Linked DNA regions of Oryctolagus cuniculus. Each later gene encodes a partner of the first gene's protein in a complex. Links are inferred from orthologs where the notes say so. Each region holds a gene or a part of one and is shown on either strand. Other genes may lie near its edges.

The links. The genes of interacting proteins can lie anywhere in the genome.
Region 2: POLR3C (region 1) and POLR3D share a complex: the UniProt entries of both Homo sapiens proteins name them as parts of the RNA polymerase III complex. The link is inferred for Oryctolagus cuniculus from reciprocal best matches to the Homo sapiens genes POLR3C and POLR3D.

Annotation. Positions count from the first base shown.
Region 1 is NC_091438.1:49,048,809-49,052,351, forward strand, and holds part of POLR3C (DNA-directed RNA polymerase III subunit RPC3), read right to left. Parts: intron 3,259-3,543; coding exon 3,178-3,258; intron 2,935-3,177; coding exon 2,883-2,934; intron 2,873-2,882; exon of another isoform or gene 2,810-2,872; intron 2,274-2,809; coding exon 2,213-2,273; intron 1,762-2,212; coding exon 1,611-1,761; intron 1,088-1,610; exon of another isoform or gene 1,035-1,087; intron 904-1,034; coding exon 802-903; intron 683-801; coding exon 633-682; intron 182-632; coding exon 32-181; intron 1-31. UniProt on the Homo sapiens protein: DNA-dependent RNA polymerase catalyzes the transcription of DNA into RNA using the four ribonucleoside triphosphates as substrates.
Region 2 is NC_091439.1:1,079,425-1,083,500, reverse strand, and holds the start of POLR3D (DNA-directed RNA polymerase III subunit RPC4), read left to right. Parts: upstream 1-1,239; 5' UTR 1,240-1,373; exon of another isoform or gene 1,374-1,415; intron 1,416-1,607; 5' UTR 1,608-1,612; coding exon 1,613-1,777; intron 1,778-2,901; coding exon 2,902-2,945; intron 2,946-4,076. UniProt on the Homo sapiens protein: DNA-dependent RNA polymerase catalyzes the transcription of DNA into RNA using the four ribonucleoside triphosphates as substrates.

The DNA of each region.
Region 1 (3,543 bases):
GTACACAGGGCCTGCAGTTTTCCAGACTCACTTGTTGACGTTACGTTTCAGGGTCTCCAGCTGCTGCCGCTCAGGAGCTGTGATCATCTCCTCGATCTCCTGCAGCTGTGCCGCCTCGGCGCCGGTAGCCTGCATAGACGCGATGATGGCTTCCACCCTCTGGGACTTCTCTAGTAGACGCCTGTTAGACACAACTCTGAGGCGAGTTCCCAACACCGGGGATTCTCTTACCCCTCGTCTCTGAGGAACAGCTCCCGCTTCCCCCTTTACCACATTCCTGGTCAAGGCTGCTCTTCTACACATTGCACTGGGTATGTAACTTGACTCCTGAAACGCTTACTGTCCCTCACTTCCCCTCAGTTTGGTGCTGTTGTATGTTTCTCATAAATTTAACTTGCGAAATTATGTCATCGGAGGTCTATCAGGAAAGTGTAGGTTAATGCACGATGCATGCCCACATTAGCCAACAATTCAACGCTACAGACTGGTTACTGTCTCTATTGCTATAGACTGGCTATTGTCTCTATTGCTGTAGACTGTTATTGTCTCTGTTGGCTTCCATTTCTACTGGAAACTTCCCCTCAGGCCTTTGCTTGAACAATGTGAATGACTCAACTGAAAATGCTACTCACTTGTTCTCTTTGGTTTCAAACTGCCTCCTTTCTATCAAATTGGCTATGCTCTGAGGAAAGAGAAGAAAAGCACACAACTCTGTTAAGTAGCACAGGTAAGCTGGGATCAGGGGCCTATGGGTGAGCCATGTCTGGGGGAGGGGACGGGGAGCTGGTGCAGTGGGGTTACCTTGTAGCACCTGTGCAGTAACATTCGGGCAGCTGAGAGCACGTTCACAGTGTATAAGTAGAAGGTCCTGGAGGGGGCGTGGTCTGGCGTTTTGGGGATTTCCTGTTTATCAAGAGGGAAAAATGAGAGGAACCACAGCACGCTTCACAGCTGGCACTGCAGAAGCACTGCTGCCCGGAGCCGCCTAGCCCGCCTTTCCCTCGCACGCTCGGCAGTCCCCTGCCACTCAGCACCTGTGTTCCTGGTGCGTGGCTAGTCGCGTGCTGTCCATTTCACCTCCAGCATTCTAAGTGGCAAAGAGAGGGAAGGTAACTGACATTTACTGAGCAGCGCCATGTGCCGGGGAGGTTGCAGCTGATCCTTCTAGCAGGTGACATTATCCTACTACCCTCGCCCATCAGCATGTTAGAGATGGGAAACATGACGGTAGGTAACTTGCTCAGTGTAACTGGGGCAGAGGCTAAGCTGTGATCTGACTCCAAAAGCTGTTCTTTCTGCTTCTTCACAGACTCTCCTGCATGGCTCTGTGTGCACCCCCAAATGCTGTGAACAGATCTAATCCATTATCCATTTAAGTCATGAGGAGAGGGCAGGGTAGCTTTCCGGTGATTTCGTGGCTGTAACTCTTCCTATCAGGCCAGCTAAAGCTCCACATTATCCTTCACGTGCTTTCTACGTCTTATGAGTCACTTCTTCTGTCTCTAAGCTGGGTACAGAGCTTGTTTCAGGGTTCAGGATATTTTTTGTTTCGGAGTTTTTCTCACCCTAGGCCAGCTTTGCAGGTTGGCAGTGATTACACCATTGGTTACCTGGAGTGAAATGAAATTTTCTGACAGCATCTTATAAAGCATATCTTTTGCCTCCTTTGCAGGAATCATTGCAAAGTCTTCTACCTGCTTCTGCTCCAAGTGTTTCTTTTGCAAAACTAGACGGAATATTCTGGCACAGCGAGATCCAAACCTGGAAAGGAATGAAGAAAGCAACTGTGCATGCTAACACATATTAGCTTCAGCTCCTAACCACAGATGGTGATTGTTCTCTTCCATGTGTGCGGCAGACCAGAGAGGAACAGTGATCACGGATTCCTTTCACAGCTCCACATCACTCCACAGCGATGGTACTGTTAATCACAGTAAGGTAGTCACCAACTGTTGACTTGTGTGAGTGCCACAGTTCTTGCATGTGCCACAGGCTTAGGGAGGCTAGTTAATCTGCATCACTGGGAACTAAACAGATCTGCTAAGGCACACGGTAAAACAAGAAAGGATCCATAACAGTCCAGTGGGAAAATGGAGCAAAGTGTACCAAGGTGTGCATATATTAGCTGTTTACATAGTGGCCAAATTGCTTGTTTGAGTGGGGTATAGATAAGGAGGGTCTCATCCCAATCCCAATCAGAGTGACCCCTTACCTCTCCTGTACGACGGACTCCAAAGTGGCTGTGGCTAGGGATGCTAATGCCTTGTGGAGGTCTTTATGTAGAGGATTAAGGTCACTCACTAATGTTTGGCCTGGTCATCACTAACTTGAAGTTAAAATTTAAATGTTATTAGCCTATAAGCGTTATAAAATATTACCCGATGATTGTGTTTAAGTAAGGGGCTGGTGTGATTGCAATTTGGTTGCTGATAAGTCCGTTTCAGGGGTAGGCATTTGCTGCAGCAGTAGGGAAGCTGTGGCCCACGTTGCAGTGCCTGAGTTCGAATCCCGGCTCTGTTCCTGATTCTAGCTTCCTGCTGATGTGGTTCTTGGGAGTCAGCAGTGGTGGCTCGTGTGGTTGAGTCCCTGCCACCACGTACAAGATCTGGATTCAGTTCTGGGCTCCTGGCCTCAGCCTGAGTGAGCCCCAGTTGTTGTGTCTGGGGAGTGAAACAGCACATGGGAGATATCTGTCTCTCTTTCAAATAAACTAAATTTTTTAGAAGTATTTTTTACTTTATCATCAATGTGGTTCATTGAAAATTCATAGAAAATTACTTCAATTCAGTATACTAAACATTATCATATCCTTTTCTCCTAAGCTGTCATTCTGCTTCATGGTTCAGGCTGCCTGACTCGAAGGAAATAGCTGGTAAGGATACTGATGACATACATTCCTCCACCACTGTCGCCAGACTTCCCAACAAATTCTAGCTATTAAAAAAAAAAGAGACAAGAGAGTGTTAAGTGAATGGAAAGTCTAGCGATTCTGTTCCCAATGGAGCAAATCTAGCCAAGGGTCTACAGCAGATAGCCCTTCTATCAGATGATGGTGGAGACACTGAGCTGCCTAGGTAGAAAATGGGGCTACAGGAGAATGATACACAGTATCAGTGGCAGAAATAAATTGTAAATAGAGCAGAATAAAGGTGGGGGGAGGAGCAAAAATAAACTTACTGGATCGTCTGCCAGCAGAGTGAGATACTGATCAAGAACTTGCTTAGAGATGTTATAGCCAACAGGTAGGGATCTGAAGATCTATGTGGGAAGAAGAGGAAGTGGGTTGGAAACTTAGAATTATTGAAACAGAGATGTCTTAATTTTAGATGTCACAAATATAAAAATGTCTGGAAACAATCACAGCAGCATTGTTTGTAACAGCAAAAACTGAGAAACAATCCAAATGTCTGGTACTAAGAACTGACAGCAATAAAGGCCATCTCAGCCCTCTGTGGAAAATGATACGGCCATCACAAAGAATGAGGATGAAAACATGCATGAGACAGATCTACAAATACTGACATAAAACAAGTTTTACATATA
Region 2 (4,076 bases), on another chromosome or scaffold:
CCTTCTCTCTCTGTATTAACTCTTTCAAATAAATAAATGTCTTAAAAAAAAAAAAAGAAAGAAAGAAATGTACATCTTTCTGCTTGTTATCCGAAGTGGAAATCTCTCCCAGGGGAATAATTCAAAAGAAGAAAAAAGTTTAACACACCATATGTTCACTATGTATGTTGCTTAAAAAAAAAAAAAATCCAAATGTCCAAACAGGGAAACAGGTAAATCAAGATCCAGTCCCTGGGCTGGCATTCTGGCCCAGTGGGTAAAGGCGCTGCCTGCAGTGGGCGCCAGTTCAAGTCCCAGCTGCTCCACTTGTGATCCAGCTCCCTGCTAATGTGCCTGGGAAAGTGGTAGAAGATGGCCCAAATCCTTGGGCCCCTGCACCCACGTGGGAGATCCCAGCTTTGTGGCCAATTGGCAAGTGAACCAGCGGATGGAAGATTTCTCTAACTCTGCCTTACAAAAAAAAAAAAAAAAAAAAAAAAAAAAAAAAAAAAAAATTCCAGGCTGCTGCCTGTGATACCAGCATCCCACGAGGCCCAGGCTCCTTGCTTCTGCCTGGCCCAGCCCAGGGTGTTACAGTCATTTGGGATGGGAACCGAAGCCAGGAGCCGTAGGCAGGGCTCCCACGTGGGCGCAGGACCCCAGAACTCCGGCCATCCCCGAAGGACACTTTTCCCGTCAAATCACAAGGGCCAGAGTCACGACAGAAGCTGATCGGATCCGTCCCTCCCGCGGCAGAGCAGACTCGGTTTCCGTCTTCTCTCCAGGACCCGGGCGACCCTGAGCCCAGAACGGGGGACGGGGCAGCCGCTCCGGAGACGCCCCTGAGCCCACCCCGGACGCCCCGCCGCTGCCCCGCGGCAGTGACCGCCCCAAGGTCACCACACAGCGCCCGCAGCCGGGGCTGCCCGGGGCTGCAGCCGGGCCCCGCACTCCACCCCGACGCGCGACCCCACTGCTCCGAGCGGCTAAGTCGCGGCGAATTCCGCCCCCGTCCCCACTGCCCCGTGGGGTGGGGGTCGCCAAGGCGCTGCCTGGAGCTCGGCGCCCCCACCCCTGGCCCGAGGCCACGACCCACAAACGCCGCCCCGTAACGTAGCCCGGACCGGCCCCCCTCACCCCAGCTTTTTCGCCCTCTCAACCCAGCTTTTCCCGACTCCGGGAAGAACCGGGAAGAGAAGGCGGAGGGCAGCGAGACGCCGCCTCATAAATACTGTGGCCTAGCCCCGCCCCCAATCGTCACTTCCGCCCCGCGGCAAGATGGCGGCGCCCAGGCGCTGCCACGCAGACTTCCGCCCGGCGCGGAGACTAGGGGTCGGCGGCGAGTGGCGTCGGCTGTGAAGTGGGGACGCGCGGTTGCGGAGCCCCAGCGGCGTGTGCGTTCCTGCCTCGGGCCTGGCGGGGGGCTGGGAGGGCAGGTTAGAGCTAAGGGCTCCGGCCGGGGTGGTCCGGGGCGCCTCGCCACGTGGGAGGGGGAGGAGCCGAGACGCAGCCCGAGGGACGCGTCGGGGGCGGGTTGCAGGGGGAGCGGCCCGCCACGTGAGTGCGGTTCCGCCCCGGGTTCGCGGGTCCGTCTCCGCCGGTGACCGGGCGCCCGTTCTCTCTCTCAGGCAGCATGTCGGAAGGAAGCGCCGCGGGCGAGCCCGGCGCTCCGGGCACCCCCCGGCCCCTGCTCTCAGGGGCCCGGGGGCTCATCGGGCGGCGGCCTGCGCCCCCTCCCACGCCGGGCCGCCTTCCCTCCATCCGCTCCAGGGACCTCACTCTCGGGGGAGTCAAGAAGGTACCCGCCCGGCGCGTTTCTCAGGACACTCAGCTGTTTGGCACTCCAGGCTCCCAGATTCAGCAGATGCCCCTGTGTGGCTTGCTGTGTGCTGGGCGTGGTGTTGGGGCTCAGTCAAGTCTGGGTGCTGGCCACGAGCTGTTGAGGTGGTTTTCAGAGGATCGCGCCTGGTTCCAGACGTTCCAAAGAGCAGGGTTTACTTTCATTGTGCGTGCGTGTGTGTTGTAGAAAATGCTCTGTGTATTTGAAAGAGTGCTGGCATGCACCTGCTGGCTCACTCCCCAAATGGCCCCGATGGTCCGGACTGTTCCAGGCTGAAGTCAGGAGCCAGGAACTGCGTCTGGCCATCTTCTGGCTTCCCAGGTGCGTCAGAGGGAGCTGGATGGGAAGTGGAGCAGCCAGGACCCGAGCTGGCGCCCCAGTGTGATGCTGGCATTCCAGGCAGAGGCTTAACCCACTGCACCACAACACTGACCCGCTGACCCCTTAGTGTTTGTTTGGAGCCCCCTTTAAGAACCCTAAGATAGCCAGACAAGCACAAACGCCGCTGTCAGTTTTGAGAGGGTCCCAGAATCCTCTGGTAGATTCTGGGCATGGCATTGGGGCCCGGTGCCCTTTTCCACGTGACTGTGGCTGTGAGGAGCTCTCAGAGGGTTGGGGGTGACAGGGAATGAGACAGAGCAGACAGCAGCCAGTTTTGAAAGATTTACCTGTGTCTCGGGCCAGTCTGGTGCCAGTCTAACCATGTCCTCTGTGAGTGCTGGCAGATCTGTGTTCCCTGCCTGGGCCTTGAGCGAGAGCTGTGTGCCTGTGGTACTGATTGGCCCCCGTAGCAGACTGGAGATGAGAGACATCAGACAGGTTTCTTTGCATTTGGAGGTGCTGGTGGGGCTCTCAGAGGGCAGAAGCTGCTAGTTAGGATGGTGTCGGGTTCCCTGCTGCCCGTGTGACTGTGCTGCCGCCGTGGCAGGATGGCTCTCCTCGCCAGGCAGCTGTGTGTCTGTGTGAAGGTGTGATGACAGCGCAGTGTGTGCAGAGGGCCTCAGGGTGGGCTTGGTCCCCAGGAGATGCCCTTTGGGGGGTCAGAACGGATCAAGTCAGTGACTCTTGCATTTTGCTTTCAGAAAACTTTCACCCCAAATATCATCAGCCGGAAGATCAAGGAAGAGTAAGTAGCCTGAATACTTGCCCCTTGTTTCTTTGCACAGGCTGGGGCTGTGGGGGAAGTAACTAGCTTATGGCTCAGAAGTGTAAAAATTTGTGTGTCCATTCTTTGCACTGGTGATTTTTTTTTTTTTAAGATTCATTTATTTTACTTGAAAGAGTTACACAGAGAGAGGAGAGGCAGAGAGAGAGAGAGAGGTCTTCCATCCGATGGTTCACTCCCCAGTTTGGCTGCAACGGCCGGAACTGCGCTGATCCGTGCCAGGAGCCAGGAGCTTCTTCCAGGTCTCCCACACAGGTGCAAGCACCCAAGGACTTGGGCCATCCTCCACTGCCATTCCAGGCCATAGCAGAGAGCTGGATGGGAAGTGGAGCAGCTGGGGCTAGAACTGGTGCCCATAAGGGATGCTGGCACTTCAGGCCAGGTGTTAACCCGCTGTGCCACAGCACCGGCCTTGCACTGGTGATTGTTAACCCTGGCTTGCAAATGATTTTTTTTTTTAAAGATTGATTTATTTGAAAGGCAGAGTTACAGAGAGGGGGGTGGGGGTGGGTCTTCCATCCGCTAGTTCATTTCCCTCTAAATGGCCTCAGTGGCCAGTGTTGGGTCGGGCGGAAGCCAAGAGCTTCTTCCGGGTCTCCCATGTGGGTACAGGGACGCAAGTACCTGGGCCATCTTCTACTGCTTTCCCAACAATAGCAGGGAGCTGGATTGGAAGAGGAGCAGCTGGGACTCAAACTGGCGCCCATGTAGGATGCCAGGTGATTCTTAAAGTGCAGGCCTTCAAAAAATACAGATCCCCAATGCTGCATCTCTAGAAATTGTGATTGGACTAGTTTGCAGTGAAACAGAGTGATGCTATCTTGCAGCCAGAGTTGAAAGGCAACAGTTTAAATTTGGGGTGAGGAGTGTCCGGCTTGCAGGACATCTGTGGCCCACGAAATCTGGTGTGACCCTGCCAAGGCAGCCGTGGGCAGAACTCCCAATTCAGTTAACTCTCCGGGCAGCTAATGTAAGTTGATGACTGTGTATGGCCTGAGAATGATGTTGTAACTATCAGAATAGCCCGTGGCAGGAAGGAGGTCAGACAGATGTGACCACGCTTGCCTTGACGTTCGTTTGTATTACAGCCTT